Linked DNA regions of Mus musculus. The protein of the gene in region 1 purifies or fractionates together with the protein of each later gene. This does not show direct contact. Links are inferred from orthologs where the notes say so. Each region holds a gene or a part of one and is shown in the gene's direction. Other genes may lie near its edges.

Region 1 (6,553 bases):
TTGCCATTCTAGACTGGTGAACTGCTGCCTCACTTCTAGCTTCTGCCGTGGTCTCTTCTCAAGTCTAAGCACCAACCGGAGCCTCACTGAACTGGACCTCAGTGACAATACTCTGGGAGACCCGGGCATGAGGGTGCTGTGTGAGGCACTCCAGCACCCAGGCTGTAACATTCAGAGACTGTGGTAAGTCTGTGTGTGTGTGTGTGTGTGTGTGTGTGTGTGTGTAGAATGATTGGGAGAAGACAGTAGAGAAAGATGATTAATGAATGGGATTGAGAACAAAACCCAATGAACTAAGAAGTAAGCGTTTGGGAGAATATCGCTTCCATGCACAGTATTGGGTGGACTGTGGCCACTCAGGTTTGGCTGTTAGGAGTTCAAAATCACATATCCATTGGTTGATTTGTTCTGTGTCTCTCTCCCTGGCTTGTAGGTGGCCATTTTCTCCTTGAATCTTTGCATCATCTTCTAGCTGTGTGTCTGTCCTCCAACCTCTAACAACCTTTCCTTGTACTGATACCAGTCCAACGGCACTAGGGCTAACACTGAATTCTGTTCAACGACCTGTTTGAAGCACCTGTTTCCAGTATGTGTTAAATAAAGCTAGAGGGAGGGTCCAGGGGCCCAGCTGGAGGGAGGGTCCAGGGGCCCAGCTGGGGACTCAGATGCTCAGAGTACAGCATATAAATCACAGTAGGCTGAACACGTGGGTAGTACTAGTGAGGCCAACCTGAGGAGATAAACTTTTCATCCCCATAACAGCATCTGTGATGAAACTTCCCAGTTCTCACCCAGAAGCCTGGTCCATGAAGAAATGGAAAACACAACCTTTGTTTTGCCACCAACAAATAGCTCCTTTCAGCTCTTCTTCATCTTCCCTGTCTACAGCTTTCTAAACTTACCTCCAGTCCATTCAGCCAGCACACTTATAATAGAATCAAATGTGCTGATACGTGAAGCTTTGGAGGGACACATTTGGGCCTTTAACACATACTCTGGATTCATGTAGCATCTGAATTTTTAACAAGTTACATAGCTCTTTAAATTTCATTTGTTTGTTTATTTACTTATTTAAAAGACAGGACCTCACTATGTTGCCCAAGCTGGCCTACTTTCTGGCTCCAGCACTCTCCCTTCCTCAGCTTCTTTTGTGGGTCTAAGAGCGTGAGGTGGCGTCCTGCCATTACGTTCACTTCTTTTGAGTATTTCTCTATCTCCCTATTGCTCGTACTATATATCTTTCCAACACCATTTGTAAAAACTCAATTTTATTTTCTGTATAAGCTGCTGTTCACAGTCTCTCATCCTCACTTGGCCAGCCCAGGGCCAGGAGCACTGTGCTGGATGTTACAGTGAGCTTAGCTTATGACTCTGGGGAAGAATTCCTGTTATTTCGCTGTGGTCTTTGGAACACCAGGGCACACCGGTCTTTAAGAGTGTGTGTGCCTCAGAAGGATGTTGGGTGTTTTGTCTCTCCACATCTGCTTTTTCTTTTCTTTTAGATTTATTTATTTTATGTGTCTGAATGTTTTGCCTGTACATATGTCTGTGTACCATGTGCATGCCTGGTGCCCTTGGAGGCCAGAAGAAGGTACTGGAGTCCCTGGAACTGTAGTAATGGATAGCTGTAAGCTACCATGTGGTGTTGTGAACCAAACTCGAGGTGTTGGAGAAATAGCTTGGCAGCTAAGAGCTCTTGCTGTACTGGCAGAGGACCCAAGTTTGGTAAACAGACATATATGCAGGCAAAACATTCATAACACATAAAAATAAATAATTCTCCCATTCTGCTCTCCCAGTGGCTTTATATTATTGAGAATTATTTTATTATTTCTGAGTGTTATTGAAAACTAATGATTACTCCATCTTTCTTTGTTGGCTTGTTAGCTGTAGATTTTTGTGCTGTTATTTTGATGAATTTTCTTTTGGATGTATTCCCTACATTAGCTTAACTGTAGCATTGCCACAAAGTCCATTCCATAGTATATTACTTTCTTTCTTTTTTAAAAAAAGATTTACTTATTTATTTTATGTATATGAGTACAATTATAGCTGCCAGCCCCACTTGCTCCGGCCTAAAGATTTTTTTATTATTATATGTAAGTACATTGTAGCTGTCTTCAGACACACCAGGAGAGAGCATCAGATCCCATTACAGATGGTTGTGAGCCACTATGTGGTTGCTGGGATTTGAACTCACGACCTTTGGAAGAGCAGTCAGTGCTCTTACCCACTGAGCCATCTCTCCGGCCCCATAGTATATTTCAATGTCTCCCCTTCTAGCCTGTGAGCTATGACTGTCTTATGCTTCTGAATTTCACACACTCCATTTTGTGCTTTATTTTGTTTAACTCCAAGTATATGGAACAAATAAAATTTTAAATTAAAAAACCCATACACTTAAAAAAGAACATTTCTATTTTTCTTTTCTTTAAAAACTTATGGTATGTGCATGTGTACGCGCGCGCGCGCGTGTGTGTATGTGTGTGTTGTGTTACCGATGTCTGTTGTATGTGGGCCTGCACACGTCACAACATGCATGTGGAAGTCAGTGGGCAAGTTTGGAAATTGGTTCCTGACACAGACAGAGATGAGGTCATAAGTTAGGGTGGCAAGAGCATTGACCCGCTGAGTCACTTCCCTGGCCTTACTGTGGAGAACTAAGTGGATCCTGAGAAAACTCCTCTCACTCCTTTGGAGAGCCGTGCTTACAGCAGCATCATTATTATGGACTTAGCCTCAGCTCTTAAAGGTTTCAGCCCCTCTCCCATCACTACGCTGAAGACCAAGCTTCTGACTGTGGCCTCCTGGGGACAAACCACAGCCAAACAATAGTGCAAAAAAGGACTCACAAATGGGGGTGAGGGGTGCACGCTGACCCAGCCCTGAGTGTTGCCTAGCTGACATTTCCCCACAGCTCTTCTCTGTGGCTCACAGAGATCTGTTCACCAAGAAGGAAACGGAGTGAAGGCCACATGTACCAAGAGGTTGGCACTGTGGGAAGCACAGAGAGACCCTAACTTCCCCCATCCTTCCTATCGGTGTCTTCCTGAGTGTGGCTTTGGTGTCCCTGACCCACCCAGCAGAATAGGAACTTTATGAGATCACCGGTCAGTTCTGCTTCCTAAATTTCTCCTCGGTGTGAAGAGAGCACGGGGATCACATTCTCCTAACGCACGGAAAGACAAAAATGTCATGGGAACGAGAACTCTAGCCACACGCATGCCTCGTGAGGGGACTTCAACCATTAGAAACGCTGGAAGGCAGGGGCTCCAGGCTCACCACCCTTGTCATTTACAAACCAGGATGTACCCTTTGTGCACCCGAAGTGCAGACCAACACGAGCTTGGTGCATTCACCATGAGGCCCCCTCCCACTTCTAAGGTGTCCTGTGTGCTGCTCAGGAATTCTGGTTACCCCAGAACACATCGGGCTCCTGCTGAATACAGAAACTGCATCTAAACTGAAGAACGATAGCAGGGAAGGAGGCTGTGCGAGCCGGCTCTCCATCATGAAATAAGCACCTGAGACAGTCAATTTAAAAGGAGGAAAACTTTGTTTTGGCTCATGGTTCTAGCCTATGGTCAGTCAAGTCTGTTGTGATGAGCCAGAATATCGTGGTAGCATTATATGGTCGGGGAGTCTATGCACATCATGAGGCTAAGGAACAAAGGAGGAAGAGAGCAAGAGTGAGGGGGAAAGAGACAGACACACAGACACACATACAGACAGAGACAGAGAGACAGAGAGAGACAGAGACAGACAGAGAGACAGAGAGAGATAGAGAGAGACAAAACAGTATTTCAGTATCTCCCTAAGGTCACCCCCTTCAGTGTCCATACATCCCATGTGTCTTCCTCTAGGCTCCACTTCCCAGAGGTTTCAGTCCCCGCCCCCCATAGTGTGAGCGTGTAGGCGTGGGACACGCATAGGATCTGGATCCTGAGAGAGGCCTCTCTCTGATGTCTGATTCTGTTCTCGCTGTGAAGGTTGGGGCGCTGCGGACTGTCCCATCAATGCTGCTTCGACATCTCCTCTGTCCTGAGCAGCAGCCAGAAGCTGGTGGAGCTGGACCTCAGTGACAATGCCCTGGGGGACTTTGGAATCAGATTGCTGTGTGTGGGACTGAAGCACCTGCTCTGCAACCTCCAGAAACTGTGGTGAGTCTGGCCTACCTCCCTTAGGCAGCTCTGCTGTGGAGGCCCAATTCAGGAACTCTGCTTCAGGGAGACACAGCGAGCCATCATCAGCTCCTGTGTGAGGATGAGAATATTCTCAGCGGCCTGGAGGGCTTCCTGCGCTCCCTTCTGCTAGTTTGCCAGTCGTTCAGTCAGCCAGTGATTGCTGTGCGGGGAGTTAATGGGAAAATATAGCAGTGGTGTGTATGTCTGTGCGTGTGTGTATGTTTATAAATCATCAAATAAACTGTCTTTAAGATATCCGAGGAAACAGAAGCACTGCTAAGCATCATGGTAGAACGGTTTTGAGAGGTCATAATAAATCCTCACACTAAATAGAAAAAAAGCAGCGCTTAAGCAATGGAATATTTATTGTGTGGGGTCCTTACTGAACGCTTCTAGGAGACGAGAATTCTAAAAAGTTAAGAGAGTGCTTGCAGGCTAGGAATGCAGCTCAGTTGACGGAGTGCTTGCCTAACATATGTGAAGCCCAAAGTTTGATCCTTAGCACCAAATCAAACCAGCAAACCAGATGTGGTGGCAGAAAGATCAAAGGCTCAAGCTCATTTTTGGTTACATATTTTTGGCCAGGCTGGGCTACATGAGACCCTGTCTCAAAACAAAAACACAAGCAAGCAAACAAACAAACAAAAACAAAAAACAAACAAACAAACAAACAAAAAGGAACAAAAACCCCACTTGATCAGGTGGTGGTGGCTCATAGTTCATCACCATGATTATAGAAAACAAACGCACAACAAACAAATAAGAAACTGGACTAGTGTTGGTAAGGACTTGGAGAACTGGAACCTTTTGTCTCTTTAATGCAGTTGTTCTCAACTTGTGGATTGAGACCCTGTTGGGGGTCAAACAACCCTTTCACAGGAATTGCTTAAGTACATCAGAAAATACAGATATTTACAGAAGGAAAATCACAGCCATGGAGTAGAAACGAAAATAATGTTGTGGTTGGGGTCACCACAACATGAGGATTTGGATTAAAGAGTCACAGCACTAGGAAGGTTGAGAACCCCTGCTCTAGTAGGAACGTAAAACAACAGCAAGCAGGAACATAAACCACGGCAACCAGCACAGTGATTCTCACACGAGTATGGACCTGTACTTGATCCATGTGTTTTCGGGTGCATCTGCCAGCTATGCAACCGTGTTTGCAACATCAAGTCCAGAGCATGTCAGTAACGGCAGCCAGAGGTTAGAAACTTCTCCGTGTCTGTTGATGGACACTGGTCAGAAGGTGGCATCTGCACATACGTAGCTTTGAACAAATCAGGACACTTGCTTAAATCTTCACGAGCCTCGAGGGTGCAATACTAAGTGAGATAAATCTGTCACAAAAGGCAAACACTATGATTACACTTACATAACGTTTCTTAAATTCATAATGTAGGGCATAACGGTAGCTTCCAGGGACTGGGAAGGAATGAGTGGGAAGTTTTCGTTTGTTTGCTTGTTTTGTTTTGTTTTGTTTTAACAGGTGTTTCAGTTTTATAAAATAAAGATAATCAGAAATGGATAGTGACGGTGGCTGCTCTTAAAAAACACTGAGTTCTTTTTCTTTCTCTTCTTCTTCTTTCTCTTCTTCTTTCTCTTCTTCTTCTTTCTCTTTTCCTTCTCCTTCTCCTTCTCCTCCTCCTCCTCCTCCTCCTCCTCCTCCTCCTCCTTCTTCTTCTTCTTCTTTTCTCTTCCTCCTCCTCCTTTTTCTCTTCCTCCTCCCCCCTCCTCCCCTCCTTCCTCTCCTTCTTCTTCTTCTGGTGCTGGGGGCTGGATCTAGGTTCTCTCACGTGCTAGGAAAGCACTCTACCTCACCCCCTTTCCTTTTTCATACTGAGCAGGGTCTTGCTAAGTTGCCCAGGTACTCCCTAGCTTTTGATCCTCTTGCTTTCGCCTCCTGAGTAACTGGGACTGCAGGCCTCTGCTACCAGGCCTCAATAAAATTCTGCTCTGAAAGTGGTTAGGATGACAGATTTTACCACACATACATTAAAACCCTGGTTTTATATTATTATTATTATTATTATTATTATTATCATTATCATTACCATTATTATTAGTGTGTGTGTGTGTTCCATAGAGTTTGTGTGAAGGTCAGAGGACAACTTTTTAGAGTCAGCTCTCTCCTACTTCGTGGGTTCTGGGATTAAATTCAGGTTGTCAGGCTCCTTAGCAAGTGCTTTTACTCGATAAGCCATCTCCCTTGACCCCACATTTACATTTTATTTCAATAAAATAGATGAAGGGAAAAGGAAAGATGTTCTTGGGAATTGGCTTACTGTCTGTTACTCCTTCAGACGGGGAAGAGGATAAGAACTGTGTGGAGCTAAGGTGCAGGTTGTAGCTGAGGAGGGCAGTAGCAG
Region 2 (6,553 bases), on another chromosome or scaffold:
GATCCTGCCTTACCTGTCCTGCCTCACAGCTAGTGACCAGGTGAGCGAGGGACGGCACAGCTGGCCAATGGCCTGGGCCCAGGGCTGTGCAGTCCAAGTGTCAGCCTGGCCTGGCCTTTCTCCCAGGTCAGGATCAGCTTCCCCTTCCTTTCCTGCTTTTCTGACTTTTAGTGTGTTCAGCTTGTTTTTTTCTGACCTTGCTAAATTCCTTTCCTTTTTATATTGCACTCAAGAGTGTGGCAGGGGGTCGGCAGGTTTCCAGGCTCTGGCTCCCTGTTTTCCGGAACCTTCTCTTTGTTTGTCCTGGGGTCCTGCTTGGTTTTGATTCATTCTCTCCTAAGACCCTATCTTGGCACAGAGTCTGCAATGTCAGACCTGAGGACTCTGAGCCACCAGGGTCTTGCCACACCAGGACGTGCTACAGGGCTGCACTCAGCACCCAGTGAAGTGGCAAAACTGGGTTTATGTTTTGCTTCTTCTCAGATGGGATGGGCTCCTGTGCCCCCAGAGCTGCCTCTGTGTGTGTGCTCTGGGGGCCTCCTGTCCTAGGTATCTCGGGACTACTATGGTTTCTTGTGCAGATACTGTTAAAGCACAGGGCTGGGCAGTCAGGAGAGCGTGCTGGCCGGCCTCGCCCTGTGTTGGACATTCTTCGGGACACCCAGTCATCTTGTAAGTCATCTAATGAATATTTCCCATGTGTCACTTGCTTTTCTCTTCTTCCTCTTAATCTTCTTCCAAGTCTTCCTCTTTCTTTTCTTCTTCTTTCCCTCTACTTCCTCCCTCTCTCCCTCCCTCCCTCCCTCTCTCCCTCCCTTACTTCCTCTTCAGACAAGGTCTTCTTAGGTAGCCCAGTCTGGTCTTGAACTTGTAGTCCTCATACCTTAGCCTCCCTGGTGCTAGGATTACAAACTGATTGGTCATTTTCAAGTGGGAATCCAGTGAATCAGCAATCCTATAGCTGCTGTCATCTTCCTAGAACTTCCCCAGTATGCTCCCCTGCCTTGCTTCCCATTCTTGGCTCTCCTTCCCTTTAGTCTCTGCCCCTTTCAGAGCATTGTGGCTGGGCCTCTTCTCCATCTCAACTCATTCAGACCCTGCTCCTTGCTTTAGGGGCTCCCAGTCAAGCTTTGCCCCCTCTCAGTGCTGCTTCGCTTCTGCTCGGCCTCTGACTCCTCATCTGTAAAGTAGGAATGGTCATTGCATTTAATGCGACAATGCCTGCAAACCTTGATGTGGCCGCAGCCCTTTCCCGGCAGCTTCCTTTATTGTTGTTCATTGATCCTCACACCGTACTTGGGCTACCATCGTGGCCTTGGCCTGCCTCTCACTCAGTTTCAGACAGCTGCCCACTTCCTGTGGCTTTCTCTTGTAGTAGCTTTCTTCTGAGTAGAGAAAAGCCTAGGCCACCTGGCCTAAGGAGGCTGTCTGTGCTGTCTTCCAGGATCGACTGCGGGCTTCCTACAGGCAGATCGGGAACCGGGACACACTCTGGGGACTCTTCAATAATCTCCAGCGCCGGCCTGGCTGGGTGGAGGTCTTCATCCGGGCACTGCAGATCTGTGAGCTGCCTGGGCTGGCTGATCAAGTGACTCGAGTTTATCAGAGCTACCTGCCTCCGGGTGAGCATCCTGCCCTAGCCTTTTTCCTGGGCCATTGCCTGTTCCTCCGGCCCACAGTCTCCCCCTTCCTTCACCCTTGGACCTTCTGCCTTTCTGTCTCCATCACTCTCCATTGTAGCATATACCTGGATTTAGATCCAGCTGAGCCACTCACTAGCTATATGTCCTTTGACCATATTCCTTATTTTTTGAGTCTGTCACAGTGGGGCAAATGGCCACATCCCTCATGTGTGGCTGCACTTAGCTGGGGTTCCACATCTTCCCTTTGCCCAGCGCAAGGCACCTGCCATCATGTTTGTGGCTCTGGTGTTTCCTTCTGTCTCCATCTATACAGCGTAGAGAGTACAGAGTCTACACCCAGTCACTTTCCCTACTCTCCATTTCTATTCCCTGCCCCAAGGTTGCTCTGAGAGCATCCAGGTTCTAATGATAACACCCAACTGCCTGGTGGCCCCTTAAGTCCTCTCAATGTCACTGCCACGTCATGTGACCAGAGGGGGTTTAGTATTAGAGCTTGAAGAGAAGATCTGGGAAGAAAAACCAAGCCAATCTTGAACACACCATGTTTGCTTTTGTTTCTCTTTTCCTCCCTTCTTCCCATGTTGGTCTCTTCATTTGTGGATGCTGCAGTGCTCTCTCAAATAAGTAATGGCTATGGTAGGGTCAGAGATGGGCTGTGGCAGGGGTCGGTTGGGGATGACAGCTGTGAGAAAGCCTTGGGACAGTGGAGGAAAGTGAGTATAACAGTCAGGCTGGTGAGAGCCCTGTGCCCTGCTCCCCCATCTTTGGTGCCACCTTTCTTGTCTTTCCCAGCTCTTCTTTTCCTCCTATTCCCTCCCCATTGATGCTTATCATGTCTAATGAATCTTTCTTAGTCAGGGTTTCTATTCCTGCACAAACATCATGACCAAGAAGCAGTTGGGGAGGAAAGGGTTTATTCAGCTTACACTTCCATACTGCTGTTCATCACCAAAGGAAGTCAGGACTGGAAATTAAGCAGGTCAGAAAGCAGGAGCTGATGCAGAGGCCATGGAGGGATGTTCCTTACTGGCTTGCTTCCCCTGGCTTGCTCAGCCTGCTCTCTTATAGAACCAAGACTACCAGCCCAGAGATGGTACCACCTACAAGGGGACTTTCCCCCTTGATCACTAATTGAGGGAATGCCTTACAGCTGGATCTCGTGGAGGCATTTCCTCAACTGAAGCTCCTTTCTCTGTGATAGCTCCAGCCTGTGTCAAGTTGACACAAAACTAGCCAGTACAGAATCCATCCCACATCAGGTCATGGAGTTATTGAAGGGAGACTAGATGCCCCAAGCATCCAGGCCTCTTCTATTACCAAGGTACCTCTGATTCTTTCTGGACATCACTATATCTTTGTACCTTAGGGACCTCACTCCGCTCCCTAGAGCCACTGCAGTTACCAGACTTTCCTGCTGCGGTTTCTGGACCCTCTGCATTTGCGCCAGGTCACAACATCCCTGACCATGGCTTACGAGAGACACCAAGTTGCCCCAAGCCTGTCCAGGACACCCAGCCACCAGAGTCCCCAGTAGAGGTAAGTCCTCACAGTCTGTTTTAAGCTGCCTGCTTTTGTGTGCCTGTCTGCCCACTTCTGCCCACCCAGCCTTCCAGAAGCCCCTTCCTACCTCCTGAAAATCTTTCCTGCTAAGAATGCTGGGGTTACCTAACTGGCTACCTAACTGCTGGCCATACCTGTGGACCCCTTAGCATTCTGTCTTTAGCTAGCTAAGAGGTCATGGTTTTGAGGTCTTTGCAGTGGTCATGTGACATGTTGAGCTGGGTAAAAAAAAAAAAACAAAAAAACAAAAAAACAAAAAACTGGAGGTTAAACCAGATTTGAATGTGAGGGAGGTGATATGAGGGCTCAGGAAGTCATGGATGGGTGGTGACAGAGCTCTTATCAACTGTAAAGTCAGGTATCTGGAAGATAACTAGTTCTACTGAGATGAAGTGAGTTAGCCATGGGGTATAGAAGAAACCCTAGGCCTAGACAATGGGTCTGAAGCCATAGGGTCTGTGCAGAGACTGCTGAAGAAAGGGCAGTGGTTACAGAGCTAGACACACACATGGGGAGGAAACTTGGGCAGTGCCTGCTTTTTGTTTTGTTTTGTTTTGTTTTGTTTTGTTTTGTTTTGTTTTGTTTTTATGTTTTTTAAAGCACTTGAAGTCATCCCGAGAGGCTGGGGATGTAGCTTTCAGTTGGTGCAGTGCTGATCTGGCATACACATATCCCTGAGCTCAGTATCCAGCACCATAGAAACTGGGCATGATGACATATACCTCTAAGCCTGACACTCAGGAGGTGAGAAGCAGGTGAATGCAAAGTTCATAGTCACCCTTGGTAAGTTCAAGGCTAGGGTGAACATAAGATCTGATCCAAAAACAAAACAGCAACAGCAAAACCAAGTAGGTACTAGGATTGAAGACTTATATTTGGCAAGTATAATATTGAAGAGCTACTTCACTCTTATATGTGAAGGTTTCTGAGGATCCTGGGCTCTAGAGGAGGAGCTGAGGCCTGTAGGAGATACCCTATAAATATCTGCTGCCCTTTGTCAGCTCCTGGGAGAAGCAACTGCTTTATCTCATTTCCTCTGTTTCAGAATTCAGAGCAACTCCTCCAGACCAACTCCGGGGCCGTCGCGAGGATGTCTGGTGGCTCTTTGATACCCTCTCCTAACCAGCAGGCTCTCAGCCCTCAGCCCTCCAGAGAGCATCAAGAGCAAGAACCAGAACTGGGTGGCGCCCACGCAGCAAGTATGCATAGAGTGTGGAATTACAGGGTCTCTTGGATCCCTCGCAGGAAGGTTAGGGTTACAGTTACCATATGGCCTTCCTTAGACAGGAGGCAGGGTAGAAATAAAAGGTATTCGCTTCACAGAGTATGTTCTGTGTGCACGCCTGTGTGTGCAGTAGTGGCAGCAGCAGCTTCAAATGCAGTCATTTATGTGCACATGTCTCAGCTGGGTAGGTCTTCTTATCTCGCTGAGTTTTCTCTCAGGTGTTTACTGACATATACATGTGTTCTTCTACTATCCATTACCTGGTACCTCTTCATTCTCTTTTCTTCTAGGACAAAAACCCAACTCATGACATCTGGGCAAGGCTCTAGGTAAAAGAGAAGCAGAGCTCTGAGCATAGGCTCAGAACTGGCCTATTTCTCCTGCTCTGTTCTGTGGTCAAAATAGATTAAAATTTTAATTAATAGATTAAAATTTTAATCTGGCCAGCCCAGATTAAAAGCACATTGGAGGGTGTAGTTTTTTGCCCTGTGAGTGTGTATTTTTGTACATTGCTGCATATGAGAGAGAGCTAAGGCTGTTTCTGCACTCAGGTAAAAGGTAGTGATTGTCCAGGACCTGAAGACAGGAAAGATAACATACAATAGTAGCTGATGAAGGAGCTTTTAAACACTGCTCTTCACAAGGGGATTTCTAGTTCCCAGCTGTGGTGGTTTGAATGAGAATGGCTCCCATCGCCTTCTACATCTGAATACTTGGTCCCCAGTTGGTGGAACTGTTTAGAAAGAACTAGGGGGTGTAGTATTGTCAAAGAGGTAGGCTTGGAGGTTTCAAAAGCCCATGACATCCCTAGTTAGTGTTCTCTCTCTCTCTCCTGCCTCATGCTTAAGGATAAGATGTAAACTCTCAGCTACTGCTCCAATGCCACACCTGCCTGCTACCATGCTCCCACCATGATGGTCATGAACTCTAATCCTCTGAAACTGTGAGCCCCAAATTAAGTAATTTCTCATATGAGTAGTCTTGGTCATGGTATTGTCACAGCAATAGAAAAGTAACCAAGACACCAGAAAATCACACTAAAGTGGTTCAACCTCAAATGAGTCTGTCAGGGGACAGAACCTGGTGTCCCCCCTTAGGACTACAGTCTATCCACCCCAACTTCCAGGCTAGAGTGGCTCACCTCTACTTTCTAGACTGTGTTCTGTTTGTTCCTGGTGCCTTAGGGTTGCCATGTGAACAGTTGAAGGTCGATGGAATCCTCCTAACGCTCCCAACTTTCCCGAATGGCACTTCACTGTAGCATGCTTGCGAGCACAGGTTCTAGGAGACTTTCTGTCAGGTTTAGGGGGAGACATCAGACATCACTTCTGGCCTTTGTCAGCCATGGCAAGTGTATCCTCAGAGTTCTGTGAAGAGTCTGATGTCATCAACTTTATGCACTTCCTGATTCCCCGGATCAGACTCCCTTTCTGGGACTACTAGGTCCCTACCCCTGGGGGTGTGTGCCAGCGGGTCAGTTGACTGGTTAGTGGTTCTGTTGAGCCATCCTGCTATTGCCCCATTCAGGATTTCTCCTGCTAGAAGCTAGTGGGGGCGGTAGTAAGAGGAATGCCTCAGGACATTCGTACTCATGTCCTAGGACAAGGTAGAAGAGGCTGGAGTGGGAGAAGAGGCAAGTGTCCAGGGTGGAAGGAAAAAAAAATAATTAGAACAAGTTTTAAACTTCTGGGTGCAGATGAAGGTAGAGCCCATTTTACTTTGGTGATGGGACAGATGAGGGTTTCAAGGTAACGGCTGAGGTGCAAGAGTCTTCTCCACAGGAGGAGATTGGGAGACAGGATGTGGAAGGGACCATGTGATCAAGGACATGGGGACCCTTCTCTAGCCCTTAAGTTAAAACCACCCTTTGCATTTGTTTCTGCTTTTGTCTTCCCCACCTGTAGATGTTGCCTCTGTTCCCATAGCAACCTATGGACCTGTGTCTCCAACCGTTTCCTTCCAGCCCCTTCCACGTACTGCCCTGAGGACAAACCTCTTGTCTGGGGTCACAGTATCAGCCCTATCTGCTGATACCTCTTTGTCCTCCTCGTCCACTGGATCAGCTTTTGCAAAGGGAGCTGGTGACCAGGCCAAAGCTGCCACCTGTTTCAGTACTACACTCACC
Region 3 (6,553 bases), on another chromosome or scaffold:
ATTCTTTTAAAAGATATCATTTATTATGTGATCTAAGCTAAGCACCTTGCATGGCACCTGCATGGCCCTCGCAGTAACCCTGCCAGGAAGAGGTAGTGTTCCTTGTTTTGCTGGGGGATCAGGAGCTTGAGGCCAAAGCCAGTGCCTCACACAGGCCAAGGACACTTTCTCATGCTGAATGTTTCTGTGTTATAAATGAGCAAACATAAGAACCCTAATCATAAATATATATAATCAGTTATTAGCGTAGCAATGTGCATGTATGCACACATATGTATGCATATATACATACCTGTGCCCTTAACATATGAATGTATATGTTCCTACTATGTGTATGTATCATGCTCACTATAGCTGTCTCCAGACACCAAAAGAAGCTACAAAGGCTCAAAGTTACAACCCTTTAACGGCCCCATAAAGCACTTGCTGGGATTTGAACTGGGGTCCTTTGAATCCATAGTCAGTGTTCTTACCCACTGAGCCACAGCTCCAACACTGTATTATGTTCTCCATATGTCACCTATAGAGTTATATTCATTCTCAGCATATGCTGTAATTCCATATAATTTAATGGCCAGGTAAGGTAGGTAAATGCCTTCATTTCTCCTGCATCACTATGTGCTTGCCCTTGGTATACTACTGTGGGCAAATGACTCACTCACATAAGCTGGTTAGTCCACCTGTAAATGGGATTTTAGAAGGACTGTTTCTACCCAGAAGAGCTGTTGCAAATATTTAATGGGGAATGTATATTAAATGTTTAATATAGTCAGACTAAGTACAAAATGTCTATGATGTTACTGTTAAAGCAGGAAAGGCTTTGGTTTTTTAACAGCTGAGTTTGGATGTTTAGCCAAGCCACCCTGAGACCTGGACGGCAGGTTTACTCTATCTCTTTACTCTCTTTTTAGGAAGAAACTTTTATTTATGTCAGACATTCAAACATTTATGTCATTCAGAGTTCTGGGCCTAAGTTAAACTCCTTCTGTCCTTGGTAGAGAGTGAGTTTGAGAGAAAAACCCACTAAGAATCCTTCCTAGCCAATCAGAGAAGTACACACCTTTTTTGTTTTGTTTTGGGTTTTCGAGACAGGGTTTTTCTGAGCCCTGGCTGTCCTGGAACTCTCTTTATAGACCAGGCTGGCCTCGAACTCAGAAATCTGAACTCAGAAATCCGCCTGCCTCTGCCTCCCGAGTGCTGGGATTAAAGGCGTGCGCCACCACCCCCTGGCTAGAATTACACATCTTTAATCCCAGCACCCAGGAGGCAGAGGCCGGGGGAATCTCTGTGAGTTCAAGCCCAGCCTGGTCAACGTAGCCAGTGCAGAGCCAGCCAGAGACACATGGGGAGGGCCTACCACAAAACAAAAGGAACAAAACCCTTCTTGCCAGGCTGGTGACTTCTAACTTCAGTCACTGAGGTGTGAAACAAGAGACTTGTCAGTTCAGAGAAGGCCTAGGTTATCAGACCTTGCCTCCCAGCCACAAAAGAGCACTTTTATTTCAGAGGTTGCCAGGGTCTGAGCGGCACTAGCACTCATGCTCTCCCCTGGAAACACTCTCCTTCCATGTGGCCCACACAGTGCGGAGTGTGCAGACTATGACTCCCTGCCGGAGTCTAAGACCCAGCCACACTTCCAGGGCGTGACGGGACTGCGGAACCTGGGCAACACCTGCTACATGAACGCCATCTTGCAATGCCTCTGCAGCGTATCTCCACTGGTGGAGTACTTCCTGTCCGGAAAGTACATCACAGCTCTTAAGAAGTAAGAGGAGGTCTTCCCTGAGTCTGCCCCACCCCAGCTCCCCCAGGTGAGGTGAGGAAAGGACCCGCTGGAGTCCTTGTGAAGGGCCACAAGCCCAGACACAGTAGGTCCCCAGAGAACACACATGGAGGGTGCGGAGAGCAAGGTGGACAGGGCTCTGGTGCAGGGGCGTGGACGGATCCCTTGCCACGGAGACTGGGTCTTTTCTTTTCATTAAATCAGCAGGGAATATTTGCCCTTTGCCTCTGCTCTTCTTCTCAGGGACTGCAGTGAGGTTACCACCGCCTTTGCCTACCTGATGACAGATATGTGGCTTGGGGACTCAGACTGTGTCTCACCAGAGATATTTCTGTCGGCTGTTGGCAGTCTTTACCCAGCTTTTCTGAAAAAGACACAGCAAGATGCGCAGGAGTTCCTGATTTACGTCCTCAACGAGCTTCACGAAGCTTTGAAAAAGGTAAGAACTAACAAGTCTGAGCTAGGAGATGTAGGCTGTATGTGTATTCAGACTGCATGGCCTGCCCAGCACCTGCTCTGGTGCTGGGGTCCTGAGGAAAATGTCCAGGTTAGGATATTTGTTATTTAGTGGTTGTTTTGCTTTTTTTTTTTTACTTAAAATTTTAAAAAATTTTTATTGTTTATGCATGTATGTCTGTGTACTACTTGTTTGCCAGGTTCCTATGGAGGCCAGAAGAGGGTGTCAGACAATTTCCATCCACCATCCATGTGGGTGTTGGGAATTGAACCCAGGTCCTCTGGAAAAGAGCCAGTGTTTGTTTTTGTTTGTTTGTTTTTTCGAGACAGGGTTCCTCTGTATAGACCTGACTGTCCTAGAACTCACTCTGTATACCAGGCTGGCCTCCAACTCAGAGATTCCCTTCCTGAGGTCTGGGATTAAAGACATGCGCCGCTACTGTCCAGTGCAGCCAAAGCTCTTAACCACTGAACCCTCTGTCCAGTTCCTAAAATTATTTTTTTTATTTACTTTTATTTTTTTCTGAAACTAAGTTTTACTGTGGAGCCCAGTCAGGTCTATGACTCGGAATCTTCCTGCCTCAGCCCTGCTCCATGTGCAGATATTATAGACATCTGAAATTCTCACATTCCTGTGCTGAAGAGCCCAAAATTACTCCAGATGTGCTCAGACATTCAGAGGATCATAGCCCAACTGGTTCAACAAAATCAAACAGCTCAAAACAAGACAAAACCATTCCTCCAAGCCAACAGGAAGGCAAAAAAGCCCAGGTCCAACTGCCCAGGAGGAATTCACCTGAGTTTAAAACCAAGTGTCTAAACACTGCTTCTTTTTCACAAATACAAAGCAGCTCGGGCTGGATGAAGCTTGAGATCAAAGTCCTCTCAGGAAAGCAGTTCAAGGCCAACCTGCTTCCAATGCCTGCCTAGCTTGCCAAACTGTTACCAATGCTTTCTAAGGGTCAAAGCCTGAGCCCTAAAAGCCTTAACAAGCTAGTTCCAGCCCCCTGCCTTCCTCTCTAGGACAGTGAGAGGCAGTCGCACTGGGGAGACACAGGAGATCTGTCCGGCTTGCCTACACCGGGAAGAACCCATAAAGAAGTTGGTTCAGTCGTCCTCAAGTCAAGTTTGGGTACTGACATGAGGTTTAGATTCAAATAGGTGGCTAGCAGCGTAAATAACTAAGAGTCTGTTCAAAGCCAGTGCTGCGCATTCCTGAACCATCACTGTATTGGTACCCATCTCTCTTGCAAGATAGTCTGACAAGTTGTTGCAGTTGTGTTTAATCTCCTGGGCTCTTCCATCACCCACACCAAGCTTCATTCAGCCACGAGAGCAGCAATTCCAATCTCTTGAGGACCATTGTTTTTAGTCTTCTGATAGCTAACGGGAGGGCACAAATGTCTCCCCGTGAAGTATCTGATCTCCTGCCAGGACAATTATGGTCATTCTTCAGAGCCATCCTGAAAGGGAAATAGCTGCATCACCAGATGTCACTCATGGCTTATGCTGTCAATGTCTTAATGTTCCCTCTGAATCCAAACTGTTTTCTCATCCACGTATCACTTGAATAGAGAAAGCCGCCATTCTGTTTTCCGTGGTTTTTTGTTTGTTTGTTTGTTTTTGTTTTTTCGAGACAGGGTTTCTCTGTATAGCCCTGGCTGTCCTGGAACTCACTTTGTAGACCAGGCTGGCCTCGAACTCAGAAATCTGCCTGCCTCTGCCTCCCAAGTGCTGGGATTAAAGGCCTGCGCCACCACGCCCGGCTTCCGTGGTTTTTATGTGGAATTTGTCCTTTTTCACAGCACTGCCGAAGAAGAGTGAATGAGAAAAGAACAGGCCAAAGCTGCTGCAGGAAGGTGCCGGCCCAGGAGACCTCCATCATCACCCGGCTGTTTGAAGGACAGCTCAGTTACAGCATCACATGTTTAAAGTGTGAGAGCTGCACGCACAAGAACGAAGTTTTCACCATCCTCTCCCTCCCCATCCCATCTGACTATGAATGTTCCCTCCAGGTAGGGAGCCCCCAGCTCCTGAATATATTTTCTTGTTTTTGAGATGTGGGGGGAGGGGTGCGTGGTAGTGGTGGTTCTTGTTGTAATCCTGCCTGAGTCTCTCAGATACTGAGGATTACAGTGTCGGCTGTTATTTCCTACAATTTTAAGTAGGAAAGGGCTGCATTATGCCTCAAAGCCATAAATAAAGGTGGTCCATGAATGAACAGCATTTTTAAAAAGCAGCCTGTTATAGTTACTGTGGATTTAATTTTATTTCTAAATGTACTCAAGGCAAAGCCCCACTTAAAACTTTAAATATAGGTGAGGTTTATTCAGTCTCTTGAGATGAGCAGTTTGTGATTTCTTACAATGATATCATGGCTCCCTACCCACACTCTATAGTTTAAAGCTAGAACTAGTCATAATAGATTCTTTTTAAAAAGATTTATTTTGGGCTGGTGAGATGGCTCAGCGGGTAAGACTGCTCTTCCAAAGGTCCTGAGTTCAAATCCTAGCAACCACATGGTGGCTTAGAGCCACCATTAACAAGATCTGACGCCTGGTCCGTCTGAAGACAGCTACACAATGTATTTATGTATAATTAATAAATAAAAATTTTAAAAAAGATTTTTTTTTTTGGTTTTTTTTTTTTTTTTCGAGACAGGGTTTCTCTGTGTAGCCCTGGCTGTCCTGGAATTCACTTTGTAGACCAGGCTGGCCTCGAACTCAGAAATCCACCTGCCTCTGCCTCCCAAGTGCTGGGATTAAAGGCGTGCGACACAACACCCGGCTAAAAGATTTATTTTTATTACACAGTGTATGCTTGTTTGCCTGCATGCATATGTGTGTACTATGTGCGTGCTCAGTGCCCGAGAGGGCCAGTAAAGGGCGTCAGATTCCCTGGAATTGCAGTGCCATGCGGTCTGGATAGAAGCTGTGTACTGTGTGGAGAGAGGGGGTCTGCAGCGTAGTTTTCCTCTCTGATCGTCTTGACCACAGTGCTCAGAGTGCTCTGTAAGTGAGGGGTGGGTGTGGGAGGAGAGAGCTTGGTTAGGAACCTTTGGGAATCAGGAAACATTTTCCTTGCACAATTGCACAAACCTGTCTTGTTCTTTTGAGACTGTAAAAGCACATCTGTTGATGAGTTTTTGTGTATACAGCTGGGGAACAACAGAAGCCTGTTATGTGTTAATTTTGTTTTCCACTTGATCAAAAGGCTAAATGAAGTTCACTAGGAAGAATGACAAGTTCTGGACTGAGGCACTGGCAGGTCTAGTGGAAACAGTCTGTTTGTTCTCCTCTAAGCCAAGATCTTGCAGAAGCAGGACCTGGCTGTAGACGTCATTTTCCTGGGTGTGGACTCAAATTCATCTGAAAAGTGTCACCCAAAACCATGAGATATGGTCATTTTTCAGGCCCACCCCCTGTTGAGCTGAGTCAGGGGATACATAATTATAAAAGAGCTGTCTGATTTGTTGGTAGAAATTTCAAAGTCTGTGTTTGAAAAGGTAAACCAGAAATAAACCAGAAAAGGTAACGCAATAGAGTGGGAAAAGAATCTAAGCCTATCCTAACAGTCCAGTGAAAAAGCATCTCTTGTTGCTAGGTAGATTTTTACTTATTCTTTACCCGGGGTCTCACTATGTAGCCCTGGCAGCCCTGGAACTAGGTATGCAGACCAACCTAGCCTTGGACTAGAAGAGCTCCTCCTGCCTCTGGGTTAAAGGTGTGAGCCACCCACCAGTCCTGGCTCAACAAACGAAAACAGTTGCTAAGCAGATTTTATGGGACTCGGGCCATGGGGGTTGGTAGAGTGTAGTTCCTGGGTTTGTTCCTTAGAAAAATTCCCAGATGCACATTTGCACAGCTCCTCCAAACTTCTTTGGTTTGGTTGTGTGTATAAAAGACGGGTCTCTTTGAATTACACAGGCTGGTCTCAAACCAACCATTCTCCTGCCTCCACCCAACATGCAAACACCACAGAGTTCTGCTTTTTCTTCTATTGTCAGTGAGGATCCCGGGCCAGCAAGTGTTCTTTCTCCCCCAACAGGACTGTCTCCAGTGTTTTTTCCAACAGGACACACTGACCTGGAGCAACCAAATCTATTGTTCCTTTTGTGAAATCAAGCAAGAGGCAGCTGTGAGGACCACGATTTCCAAGGTGCCGAAAATAATTGTTTTTCACTTTAAAAGGTATGTGGGTTTTGAAATCTTGTGGGCAGATGGTTTTCAACAGTTTTATTGAGATATGATTCACATGATAATAGTTTATCCATTTAATATGTAGCTTGTCCTAAAATCAGCAGCAAAGTGGGTG
Region 4 (6,553 bases), on another chromosome or scaffold:
GGAAAAGCTTCCTTATATTTAACGTCACTTCTTGATGTTGTTTTTACTATGTAACCACTGGAGTGAGTACATCTTTAAGAGTTGCTTTATATAAGTTCCAGTAAGAAGCTATATAATTTTGGGGCTCCTTGACAAGAAAACAATTGAGACACTTTGAGGTGACAGGGAAGGGTCCTTAAACCAAGTAGCTGATACAGATTCTACATGGCTACCTGTCTGTCTATGACACTGCCTCCGAGAATACCAGATGTTTCCTTGCAAAGTTTTTTGGTTTACAAAGATTAGCATGTGTAACTACAGGCTTAATTATTTTTATATGCCATGGGTATTCATACCTGTTTCAAGTCAGGATCATTTTTCCTTCTCTGTTAGGAATGTATGCTGGGTGGTTTCAATGAAGCTTTCTCGGGAATTTCTTGAGGATGCTAAAGACTCACACTGAGACATGAGCCGTGCACCCGGGGCTCCAGGGTCTAGAAAGCAGAGCCAAGGTTTCTCTGAGTTCCAAGAGTAGTACTGAGCTAGCCAGAGCCCATTTATACATGGGTTTAGTGTTAAACATTCAATATGCAGGAAACTTTACTGTTAAAACCAAAGGTGTCTTTTGGATATTTTTTTCTTAAATACTGAACGGGGGCTGCTTGTATAAGCCTGTGTTTCATAGCAGTAAGTCACTTCAGCAATAGTGTAATCACGTTTGTGTTTAAGTTTATAACTTAATTAGCTCTGTGTTACATTTAGTTTTTCTATTGAATTAAAATCAATATTGTTAATGGTGTTAGAATATACATACAGTACTTCAAGGTGAGTGTGCTTTATAAAGACACTAAACCCACCCAAATATTATATCCAAGTGATCTATTAAACCTGAGTGGCAACCTTTGTCCTCAGACCTTTACATATTTTATTTGGGGTTTAAAGACATTCTGTTTCGTAGCATGAACATGGTAAATGTGCCACAACACATAACCTTTCATGTAAATACTTTGTTATTAATTTTTAGAAACTTTCCTTATGTTAATCATTGGTTATGTATGTTTAATTTTAAGTCTTACTTGTTTGCATTAAGTGTTTTATAATACAGAATTAAGTATTATTACAGGGATATCTAGCGTTCAGAAAGTAGGAGTTTTGAAAAGCGTTGCTATCCTGCTAGCGAATAAAAAATTCCCATTTTAAAGAGGTGTGTGACTCTGAGAAAGTTGAGCACTGCTGATGTCAACCTTGCAGCCTTGTATTAAAAGTGAGTCAGGAATTTCTGTAGCTTTGTTCCCCACCCTCTCTTAGGAGGCAGGCAATAGTGCCACGGTGAGAACCGATAGGTTTGCAACATTGTAGCTGTTGCTTCCGGAAACAGCCGAAGCCCTCCTTTTAAAGACTCTTTGACAAGCCCAAGCGTTTAAGTAGACAGTTTAGAAACTGAGGACCACCAGTCGAATAATCAGACTTTATTGCCTGGTAGTCAAGTTCATGTTGTTCTTCAGTGAGATTCCTAAGGTTTGTCAGGTCAGCATGACACTCATGCCAGGTTGCTTTCCTCCCTTTTAATTTGTTATAGGAAACAGTATCTGAGAAGAATTTATACTGCCAGGTCTTCTTCACCCTAATGTGCATTTTGTGTCCAGGGTTTTTCCTGTGTCCCTTTTATATTTTGTCTTTTAATAATGAGACTTGAAAAGAAACAGAAACACACCAACACTTACAATAATTAAGAAAAAGAGGCCATGGATTTGAAAGAATTCAAGGGGCAGGGGTGGGGTGGGAGGGTGGGGTACGTGGGAAGGTTTGGAACAGGGAAATGAGGTAATTATATTACAGTCTTCGTTTTTAAGTTATTTAAAATAATCAACTGCCAAGTTGATTATGGTTATGATGAGTTTAGACTCTGTTAAAGCATTAAATTTTTCTTCCATGTTCTAATGTCTACTTGATGCAGTGCATCTTTGAATGAAGAGACCCGGTACCCGTCTTGCTGTTGGCATCAGTCATCCCTCTGATGTGTTAATGTGGCATAGGGGGGTGCATGCACGGGCATTATTGGATGCGTTCCAAGTCTCAAGGAAAATTATGTGTAAAGAGCTGAATTTTCAGTATTGTCTCCTTCCAGTGAAAACTGATGTTGACACAGTCTGCCATAAAAGAAAACCTTCCTATTGAAACCCAATATGGGCATTTCTCCATAGTTAGAAGGACAGTGGTCTACTTTCATTATTACCTGGTCATTTAGAATAGGTTACTGACTTACTTGCTAATGAAATTGCAAAAAGTAATTGATTTTTCAGCCATGTGCTATGTAGGAAAAATTAGCCTAGTATTCTTACCTTTTTTTAAACAGACATTTTTTCTTCCTCTAGCAAGTGGGCACAGTGGCAGGGGGGTGTTGGTTGTTGCTGATGGAAAAGGACTCCAGTAGTTTCCCTGTAGCTTTGCCATTTTAGCCAGCCCTCAGCTGGCCACAGGTGCGACTCAGAAGGGCTGGCTTTTCACTTTCTCAAATATAGGGTTTTTTTTTTTTTTTTGCATTCAATACCAAAAAATTAATTGGTTGAACTTTTCCAAATGTGGTTTTCAAATACAGTAAAAAAACAGATTTAAAAGTTGATGTTAGGACATATGCTTCATAAAGTTAAGATTTTTTTTTAAAGCTTTGTAGGAAAAAAAAAAGCTGTTTAAAGGTACCGTTTCTTCATGTTGGTAATTTATAAGTACTATTCAGTAAGAAACCCACTGCACTGTTGTTTTTAAAAATGATTTTTATATACAGAGTATCCAGTGGGGCTGAGAGCTTGGATCTTGCTATGCTGCTTTCATAGTTTCCTGTTAAACTTAAGACAGGAAACTGGACGACGCTGCTCTGTAGCTGTGGGCTTCTGGTTGTGTTTAGCAGTTTCCCTTTCAGTCTCTGGACCCCTCCCTCCGACAGCCTGTTGATACTCTCAGTGCTTTGCTTCAGCTTTCCTGTGACCATCTCACTCTCCAGAACGTAGTTTCATCCATTCAAAAGACAGCTTTGCTTTGTTATGTGCAGTGAATACACTCATGAAAACTTTTATACCATGACTTAAGTTTTAGTAAATTATGGTGTTTCTAGTCACCCATGCAGCTCAACCTTTAACTAGAATTCTAGAGTGGAGACATTTGCCTGAAGCAGGACTGTCTTTTGTTTGTTTGTTATTTCTATTTTTGTTGTTGTTGGTGGTGGTGGTTTTTAAGACTAAGTCCTATGTGCTAGGCTGGCTACATACTCCTTACCTCGCTGAAGATAAGCTTGCCCTTCTGCTCTCTGGCACCTGCCTCCCAAGTGCTGGGCTTGCACTTTTGACTCACCCACTTCCTCTGTCTCACAAGTGCTAAGCTTGCAGGCATGCAACACCATGCTTGTTCTTGTGGTGCTGTAGATGGAACCCAGGCATGCTAGACACACACTTTAATCAGCTAATGCAACATACTCAGTAAGAGTGGTCTTTTAGCGAGTCTACTTTAATATTTCTTCATTTCCTAAAACCGTAGTCCTTCTTGAAATGAGATGTGAGATAAGTCATTTTAGATAGATGTATTTTTTTAAAAGTAGTTGGACATTACAGAGTAGTAGTGTTCCATAGCTTAAGAACAAATAGGAGGAAATGTAAGTCATTCTGTCAAGTGAAATTTCTGGAGTCGTCTTAGTATGGAAAATTATACTTTAAAAAATAATAACGAGGGGATAAAAGTTGATTTTTTTCTGACTTACTGATTCGCAATGCTGGAATTCAACTTTAAGAAATCTGATTTCTCAGAATCACTAATTTTTTTTTAAAAAAATATTTTAAACAGCACTTTAAGAAACAAAAGAGGCTAATCCCTGAGAGAACCGTTTGGAAATACTTCGTTCAGCTCTGCAGTGCACTGGACCACATGCATTCTCGAAGAGTCATGCACAGAGGTAAGAGAAGCACGGGAAGTCTGCAGCAGCATCTTAAGTGACATTCGCCACCAAGCACTTTAAGATAGCTTCCATTCAGTCCACGGCATTACCTGTTTTTCATAATTTATGTCTAAATTATAATTTGTCAGGACTGTAAGCGTTAAAGTGAAGCCCTGCTTTATGATAAATAATGCGAATTATGCTTTGCCCGACTTCTCTCAATACCTTGCTGGTTCTCTGGGTGAGAAAGGGAAGCTGTGGGGGACAGTGCATGTGCATTAGGAAGAGGGTTTGTCGTGTCTCCTCCAGACAAGCAGACTGTGGCATCCCAGCCTCAGGCCTTCAGGGATGCTTCATGGTCAGTCCAGTTGTTGGGCAGACATAATGCACTCAAGTCACTAAGTGACTGATCCACTTATTTGGGGCTGTCAGATCTGAAGCAAATTATTTAGGGAATTGTGATTTCTGAAGCCATGAAATGAATACAATGTACATAATATTGCTAAGGTATGATTTTATAACTTGTGTAAATGTACCAATTCCTTTTTCAGCAGCATGTTATTTAACACCATTAAACAAAGGGGGACACATGTTTATTTTGTGCCTTAAATTTTCACCCGTATTCCTTGTGATATTAATTGGACTAAGAAGTTTGAAATATATGAGAATAATTCAAAATATAGTGAGTGACTTTCGGTTCAGACCTTCATATTTAATAGACATTTTGAATCCTTCCACAGGAGGAAATTTCGTATTCCTTTCAGATTCCCAAACTTATAGCATCTCTCACCTGATCTCTTCATTTATCCACAGATATAAAACCAGCTAATGTGTTCATTACAGCCACTGGGGTAGTAAAACTCGGAGACCTTGGGCTTGGTCGGTTTTTCAGCTCCAAAACCACAGCTGCACATTCTTTAGGTAAGAGGCATGATTTCACCGCTTCAGTCCGTTACGTGTGTGATTGTGTTGGTCACGGTTTAAAACAGGTCACACCAGCTCTACGGCGCTGCTTGCCTAGGAGTCAGCTGCTCCTGACAGGTGCTCACAGTTCCCTCTTACCTTTTACACGATTGCTTATTTAAACTGAAGCAGGCCCTGAGGTTTTTGTTGTTTGTGCTGGTTTTTTGAATAATACTGATAAGCCTGGCTTTTACTGTTGCCATGGAGAACTCCTTTTGTCTTATTTGTAATGACTGTGAGCTAATGGAAAACTGTATTTTGGAAGAAGTCTTCACTGGATATTTTTTAAATGCCAGAGGTAATAATTCATACATGTTTATTTATTCAATGGGCGTGTAACTGTGATAACTATTAAGAGAGAAAACCTAAGGATGATGACTCATAGTGAATGAAGAGAAACAAAATTTCTCTATTTACAGAATGGAAGAAATACCCACAGTTGATTCATTTTTGAGTTAACATTATTTTGATGTCCCTTTGCACCTAAAATAGAATTGATGTAACTACCAACACTGTATTAGCAATGGGAAGAAAAATTATTTTGGATCAGAAACAATAAAAATTCCTAGAAGAAATGTTTTTTAACTTGTGTTAAAAGTAGATTATCTCATGACTCCCCAAGTCACCTTTTTTCTTCTAGTGCATATAAAATACAGGAAGTGTTGATTTTTAAAATAAGAACTAAAACAAAATTAAGTTGGCCTTAATTTAGTTGTGTCTATCTTTGCTGTCATAATTTCCTTGAAAGTCATTAATTCTTTGAAAGCAGTCTTTAGATGTGGAGTGAGGAGCTTTTAAATGGGCTCTTAAAGAACAGTGATGTAAACTAAATAGCCAAACAGGGAAATAAGCTTCCGGATACATGGCTGGAGACATTTGAAGGCGTTTGTTCCTAAGCATTGTTCCTGAGCTTCCGTGCACCTTGAATCTATCACTTATTAATATTTTGTTTCTAGAGTAGACTTTGGCTTGACGGACAGTGTCGTGGAAATGCTTACACTTCCCTGAATTTCACTTTGTTAGTTATGGAGAACATATGATTCCACACTGATGTCCTGAAGCAGTTAGTTCCTTCACATTTCACACTTACAGTCACATAACTACAAGGCCTTTTCCAGGTATAAGATTTTGATCTGAAACCTCATAAGGAATCAGCAAATTTGCATAACCCTTTGATAAAGTTTTATTGGAGAAGTTACAATTCTTATAGTAGGTGTGGTAGACAATTTCTAGGAAGAAGCCATAGCCCTTCCTACTAAAGACACTGCCACTCTGTGCTGCTCCTCTGATTGCTGTCCTAACAACACCTTGTCAGTAACTCACTTGAAACACTAGTTTATCATTGCATGTGCACACACACTAATTGCACGTGCTTGTACACACATGCCACTTGTTTAAATGCTGCGTTGCAGTCACTCTTGAGTAGGCTGTAGTGTTTGAGCTTTACCGAACTAATGATTAACCTGAAATCCGAATCACACAACAATTTTGAACAATTCAAAGTGGATTCAGTCTGAGTTTTACTACATTTTGCAAATGTTCTACTTAGGGATTACACATTTATGTACCTCTCCAGATCTGGGTAATGTATCAGTCTAAAATTATTTCATATGGAGACCAAAGTGAATTTTAATAGACTTAAGAATTCAGTAAGAATTTTCTAAATCAGCTCCTTTAGAGGATCGT
Region 5 (5,641 bases), on another chromosome or scaffold:
CAAACGAAAGCAAACAGAAATACAGCAATACAAAATTTTGAGACAGGATCTCATCATGTCACCCAGGGTAGTCTCTTACTAAAGAATTCTCCCTCAGCCTTCTGAGTAGTAGGGACTCTAGCACCCAGCACTGTACCCAGGCAGCATGCGTCTTTTATTCTACATGCTGAAATGATATTTTTTAAAATTCTGAGCTAAAAAAAAGTATATTATTTAAATCCATTGTATTTATTTCTTTTTTTTAAAAAAATATTTAGTTTATCTGAATGGCTGTTTTGTGTGCACGTATCATGTGCATGCCTGGTGCCCTCAGAGGTCAGAAGGGAGTGGGAGTGTCAGAGCCCCTGGGACTGGAGTTTCAGTGGGTGCTGAGAATTTACTCTGGGTCCACTGATGAAAAGCACTAACTTTTCACCTCCGAGTCATCTCTCCAGCCCCCTTTTTAGTCTCTTTTGAGACACTGTATGAATAGCCCAGACTCTGGAACTCACTATGTACTGTGGACTGGCCTAAAAGTTGCCATTTTCCTGTCTCAGCTTCCTAAATATCAGCGTGCTCTAGTCTTTTATGTTTCCAAAATGGCCTCTAGAAAATTCAACACTCAGTGATTGATGTTCGTGTCTGTTCTGCACAGAGCTGAGCTGGAGAGCCACTGTGGGGAGCCCCTAGGGCACCTATTCCTCTTCGGTGCCTTCTTGGTCCACTGAGACAATGTGAGGAATCCCAGGCCCACCTCTCCCAGAAATCAGTGCCTCGCTGTGTGGTTCTAGTTCCCTGGTTAACCTCTATGGACTCTGCATTTCCTTTACTCTCTCCTCACAGACGATATGAATGCCGAAGGGAAGAGAGATAAAAGCGCATTCATGAACAGCCTGAATAAAGAAGAAAAGGAGAGCTGTAAGTCTGGGCTGGTCCTGCTGTTTGGGGAAAATGAGAAATACAAAAGGGGAGGTTATCTCCTTATTGGTAGGTTGAGGAAGGTCTAGTGTGTGTGAACACCAGTGAAGAACAAGCTTATAGAACTGTTTTATCCTTTTAAATCTAGAGATAATCATAAGATAGTGACACCTTTTCACTAATTAAAAAATATTCTAGAGGAATGGAAATGTATACATTCATTTCTCAGTTCCATAAAGCTCAGCTGGAGGCAGCTCGGTCTGTAGTTGGAACTGACCTATGGTGCCAGCTGAGGAGCTGTGACCGCGATGAAGGCATCTGAAGTGATTCAGTTATGAGGGTAGCTAGGGTAAAAGCCAGGCTCAGCTGTCAATCCTCCATATGGCTTTTAATTTGTAACTTCTTGTTATCAACCTAAAATTTGCTTTCTATCTCCAATTTCTAGGGAGCCTGTTACAGAAGAATAATTCAGTGTTGCCCACCTCAGGTAGGATTCCTTCCTAGCACATTGGTCTTCCTGAGGGGGAAGCAAGGGACCTCCAGGTCTGCAGGTCAAAATGTTCTGTCCATTACACAGCTCTGATAGAGCAGGGGAAAGGTAGAGACCAGACCCCAAGAAGAGGTACTTCCCTGCATGAATGACTGCTCTCAGCTCCCCTGAGAGATGCAGGGATAAGAAGAGAACAGAGAGAATAATAAAAGGCTCACCACAGGAGAGAGGGGGTGAGGGAAGAGGACTGTGTAACTGTGCAGACTTCAGGTCCTAGAAATAGATAGACATAGAGTGAGGGCAAGCTTCTCACACACCTCTTCTGCTTCCTAAACTCCACCTTCCCCTAATGTGGTCCCCCTACTTGGTCCATGTCCCTCCCACTGTCTCAGGGGCTCAGCAGTGCCTGTTGTCCTACTGACCTCTCTTTTCTCCTTTCCTGTCCCCCAAATGTCAGTGAATCAATAAAACTGAGCCCATCTAATGCCCCATTCCATCCCCTTTCGCATTGAGACATCCTTTGTAAGGCAACAGCTCCTTCAACATAATTCTGGAACAAGCCAGAGCCCCTCATGCTAGGTTCCTGGAGGAGGAGCTGGCTGTGAGCCTGAGCTCTGGCCAGCCTCTAGTTGCCCCTGAGTCAGCACATTCCTTACAGAGGAGAGCTGGGGAGAGGTATAGGCTGCTCTCCTCTGGATGCTGCCCATTTTATTTTCTTGGCTATTTGTGTGTGTGTGTGTGTGTGTGTGTGTGTGTGTGTGTGTGTGTGTGTATTTGCACACAAAGAAGGTAAGAGCCACAGAGTGGAGATCAGAAGTCTCTCAATGTGTGTATACATTTATTTCAGTGTGTATGTGTGTGTGCATTTCCCTCAATGCATATATACATATATACAGATATATATACACACACACATATACACACACACATATACACACACATATATATACACACATATATATTGCATATATATATAGTGTGTGTGTATGTGTTTCTCTTAGTGTGTGTGTATAGTGTGTGTAGACTTCTCTCAGTGTGTGTAGTGTGTGTGTGTAGACTTCTCTCAGTGTGTGTGTGTATTCATTTTTCTCAGAGTATGTGTGTGTTTGTGTATGCACTCCTCTCAGTGTGGTGTGTGTATGTGTCTGTGTATGCATTTCTCTCAATGCATGTATATGTGTAGAGTGTGTGTGTGTGTGTGTGTGTGCATTTGTTTGTGTATGCACTTCTGTGTGTGTGTGTAGTCCTGGAGACTAAATTTGGGATTTGAAAGAGAAATTTTTCCTTCCATGAGAAACTCAAAAGCAGGGGACTGGACAACTTGACTTGAGGCTATACCTCTTTCCTCTTCTTTATCTTCCCACAGTCCCTGTGACCCTGGACAAGTCCTCAGCTGACCCAGACCTCACCTTTTCTCAGGATCTAAAGAAAGTGACCTTGTATATTGTAGCTGGAAAAGCTTCCAATAGGCAGGCAAAACCTCGACCATTCTACCCTTTCCACTGTGTGAGGGGTTCCCCAGGCCTCTCCTCAGGCCGCCAGGTGTGGGAGGCAGAAATCCGGGGGCCCTCAGGTGGGGCATGCATTGTGGGCGTGGTTACAGAGTTGGCGCGAGGGGCCCAGAGTCAAACCGTGAGCGCGCAGAGCTACATATGGGCACTGCGGATCTCGCCCTCTGGATGCCAGCCATTCACCAATTGTAAAGCCCAGGAGTACCTCCAGGTCTGTCTTAAGAAAGTGGGTGTCTATGTGAATCATGACTGTGGAGAGGTCGTCTTCTATGATGCCATCACTAGCAAACACATCTATACTTTCCAAACTTCCTTTGACGGGAAGGTCTTCCCCCTTTTCGGGCTCCAAGTTGCCTGCAGCCATATCACCCTGAGCCCTTAGGGCTGCTCGCTTGTGTGTTCCTCAGTCTCTTCCCACCTATCACTCAGGACGGGATGAGACAAATGGTAGAAGTGAAGTGTGGCCCTACTCTGACACTCTACATGCCACACAATCACCTGATGTTTCCTCTCCCTGTCTCCCCCAAGTAGAGAAGACAGTGGAATACCCCCCAAAGACTATACACGAGGTTTTTCAGTGCTGCACTTGGTAGCAGGACCTCAGAAAAGCTTCTGGCTGCACCCTGCTGACACAGGGGTGCAAGGCGCTGTCCAACACATTGGCTGCTGCTTTCTCTACTGTATTACCTGAAACTCTTGTGACTCATCCTTTCCTGAGATCTGAGAACCAGAGGTTGTACAGAGTCGGCCAGTTCTGTGCCAATGCCCCGTTTGTAGATTTGGACAATCTACAATCAAGAATAAAACCTTTTGACATTTCAAAGCAACTTTGTCATCCTCAACAGCTCTGTCTTCTAATTAAAAGCAAAATTGTAAACCACCCTCCATGTTGATTTAAATTTCTAATTTTGGGTTAGGTATATCTATATTCTTAGCCTCATCTGTCCCTCCAGCCTAAGGCTGGTTACCACTGGAATAGGTTAAATGATTGTCAAGGGAACCACACATATAGCATACTACGTTTTACAATAAAATTTTTAATGTATTTTACATTTCTGTAGTGGGGGAGTGTTGCAGGATTTTCCCTGTCCAATTACATTAGTGCAGGCAAGGCATGTGATTGGACAGGGAAAAGGGAGGCAGAGCGAGTAGTTGCAGAGACAGAGAGGTCTCAGGAGAACGGAGAAGGAGAATGGAAGCTGATGTGGTGTTATCAAAAGGTCAGAATAATTGGGTTAAAGCTTTATTATTATCAATAGGCTCTGAAATTATTTATTGGCATTTTATAAATTGTGATTCCATTCATACATAAATCTAATTGGTTAACTATAAAAAATGGTTAATTAAGCTTTAAGAGTCTGATTTTACTGGGTTACTGGGTTTTGTATTATCAAACCTAGAGGGTGGTGGATCTATTTGGTTACTGGAGTGTGGGACTGCCAGTTACAAAGGATTATAGTGGAGAGAGAACTAGAGGCTCACTGGACAAGCAAGCCAGTTACTTCAGGGGCTAGCTCCAGAGAGTTGGCAGTGGCGGCGGCAGGAGCACGGGAGCATGGTCCAACCCCTCGGGGAGTTGGCAGGTTCCATTTTTAATATTTCCCGCAACATTGTCAGTTACAAGAGTTGACTTGGTCATGATGTCTGTTCATAGCAATGAAATCCTAGCTAATACACAGAGCTACACAGCGAGACTCTGACTCAAAATGGAGAGGCAGGTATACATTCTGTAAATTTCTCATTGGCAGGTATGTTATCATTATATCCTTTGTGTTATGTACAAACCAAATGTTCCTCTACAACCATAACCTACGCTGTTAACATTGTATTTTCTGCTCTGGCTGCATTTTCTGATTTGTTTAAATACAACAACCTAAGAATGTTTTCTTTCTTACAGTGTTGTAGGCCTCAAGTTGAGAGTAACTGTTCAGGTGTCAGACTGGGTCAAAATAGTTGCTTTCAGCTACTTGGAAGCTGCCTGCCAGTTTTCCAGACAATTGTCTCTTTTGACTGCTGTTCTTTAAATATCTTAAAGGCATTTTCTTGGGATCATAAACAGTCATCCTGGAACTCACTCTGTAAATAAGGCTGGCCTTGAATCAAGAGATCTACCTGCCTCTGCCTCCCAAGTGTTGGGATTAAAGGCATACTCCATCACTACCTGGCTGATTCTGACTATTCTTTATTATTATTTTTTAATATTTATTTATTTATTCTATGTAAGTACACTGTAGCTGTTTTCAGACACACCAGAAGAGTGCATCAGATCCCATTACAGATGGTTGTGAGCCACCATGTGGTTGCTGGGATTTGAACTCAGGACCTTCGGAAGAGCAGTCAGTGCTCTTAACCGCTGAGCCATCTCGCCAGCCCTATTATTTTTATTGAAAATTGTTTTTATCACTGTGAGTCTTCTTACCCACTTTGAAGACAACTGAAATGAAAGCTGTATTTTTTTTCTATAACTACATGCTGTAAATATATGTGTAGAAATGATCTGCCATATTGGATACTGTTTTTCTCCAAGATACTATTTATTTAATATGTTGAATATGTGTTATTTCCAGAGTAGACAGAGTTATGTAGTCATTATTTCTAACATAAGAAAAGCACAAAGTGAATATATGATATCTCTATTTCTTAATTAGATCTCTTAAGTAGAGTTAGCTCTCCTGGAACCCACAAAGTAGATCAGGCTTGACCTCAAATTCCCAGAGTCACTCCTCCCTCTGCCTCCAGAGTT

Evidence for each region.
Region 2: the proteins of Nlrp3 (region 1) and Mavs purify together in Homo sapiens (affinity purification with western blotting; 4 studies listed by BioGRID and IntAct, with this or other methods). This does not show direct contact. The link is inferred for Mus musculus from reciprocal best matches to the Homo sapiens genes NLRP3 and MAVS.
Region 3: the proteins of Nlrp3 (region 1) and Usp50 purify together in Homo sapiens (affinity purification with western blotting; 3 studies listed by BioGRID). This does not show direct contact. The link is inferred for Mus musculus from reciprocal best matches to the Homo sapiens genes NLRP3 and USP50.
Region 4: the proteins of Nlrp3 (region 1) and Nek7 purify together in Homo sapiens (affinity purification with western blotting; 9 studies listed by BioGRID and IntAct, with this or other methods). This does not show direct contact. The link is inferred for Mus musculus from reciprocal best matches to the Homo sapiens genes NLRP3 and NEK7.
Region 5: the proteins of Nlrp3 (region 1) and Trim31 purify together in Homo sapiens (affinity purification with western blotting; 3 studies listed by BioGRID). This does not show direct contact. The link is inferred for Mus musculus from reciprocal best matches to the Homo sapiens genes NLRP3 and TRIM31.

The regions. Positions count from the first base shown.
Region 1 is NC_000077.6:59,551,759-59,558,311, forward strand, and holds part of Nlrp3 (NACHT, LRR and PYD domains-containing protein 3), read left to right. Parts: intron 1-12; coding exon 13-183; intron 184-3,989; coding exon 3,990-4,160; intron 4,161-6,553. UniProt on the Homo sapiens protein: Sensor component of the NLRP3 inflammasome, which mediates inflammasome activation in response to defects in membrane integrity, leading to secretion of inflammatory cytokines IL1B and IL18 and pyroptosis.
Region 2 is NC_000068.7:131,238,871-131,245,423, forward strand, and holds part of Mavs (mitochondrial antiviral-signaling protein), read left to right. Parts: coding exon 1-40; intron 41-581; exon of another isoform or gene 582-672; intron 673-1,444; coding exon 1,445-1,622; intron 1,623-3,009; coding exon 3,010-3,179; intron 3,180-4,248; coding exon 4,249-4,402; intron 4,403-6,332; coding exon 6,333-6,553.
Region 3 is NC_000068.7:126,775,600-126,782,152, reverse strand, and holds part of Usp50 (putative ubiquitin carboxyl-terminal hydrolase 50), read left to right. Parts: intron 1-1,582; coding exon 1,583-1,765; intron 1,766-2,026; coding exon 2,027-2,222; intron 2,223-4,044; coding exon 4,045-4,254; intron 4,255-6,286; coding exon 6,287-6,429; intron 6,430-6,553. UniProt on the Homo sapiens protein: Deubiquitinating enzyme that removes conjugated ubiquitin from specific proteins to regulate different cellular processes. Regulates the inflammasome signaling pathway by deubiquitinating 'Lys-63'-linked polyubiquitination of the PYCARD/ASC adapter protein.
Region 4 is NC_000067.6:138,513,897-138,520,449, reverse strand, and holds part of Nek7 (serine/threonine-protein kinase Nek7), read left to right. Parts: intron 1-3,813; coding exon 3,814-3,922; intron 3,923-4,717; coding exon 4,718-4,825; intron 4,826-6,553. UniProt on the Homo sapiens protein: Protein kinase which plays an important role in mitotic cell cycle progression. Required for microtubule nucleation activity of the centrosome, robust mitotic spindle formation and cytokinesis.
Region 5 is NC_000083.6:36,906,438-36,912,078, forward strand, and holds the end of Trim31 (E3 ubiquitin-protein ligase TRIM31), read left to right. Parts: intron 1-822; coding exon 823-897; intron 898-1,342; coding exon 1,343-1,384; intron 1,385-2,753; coding exon 2,754-3,280; 3' UTR 3,281-3,780; downstream 3,781-5,641.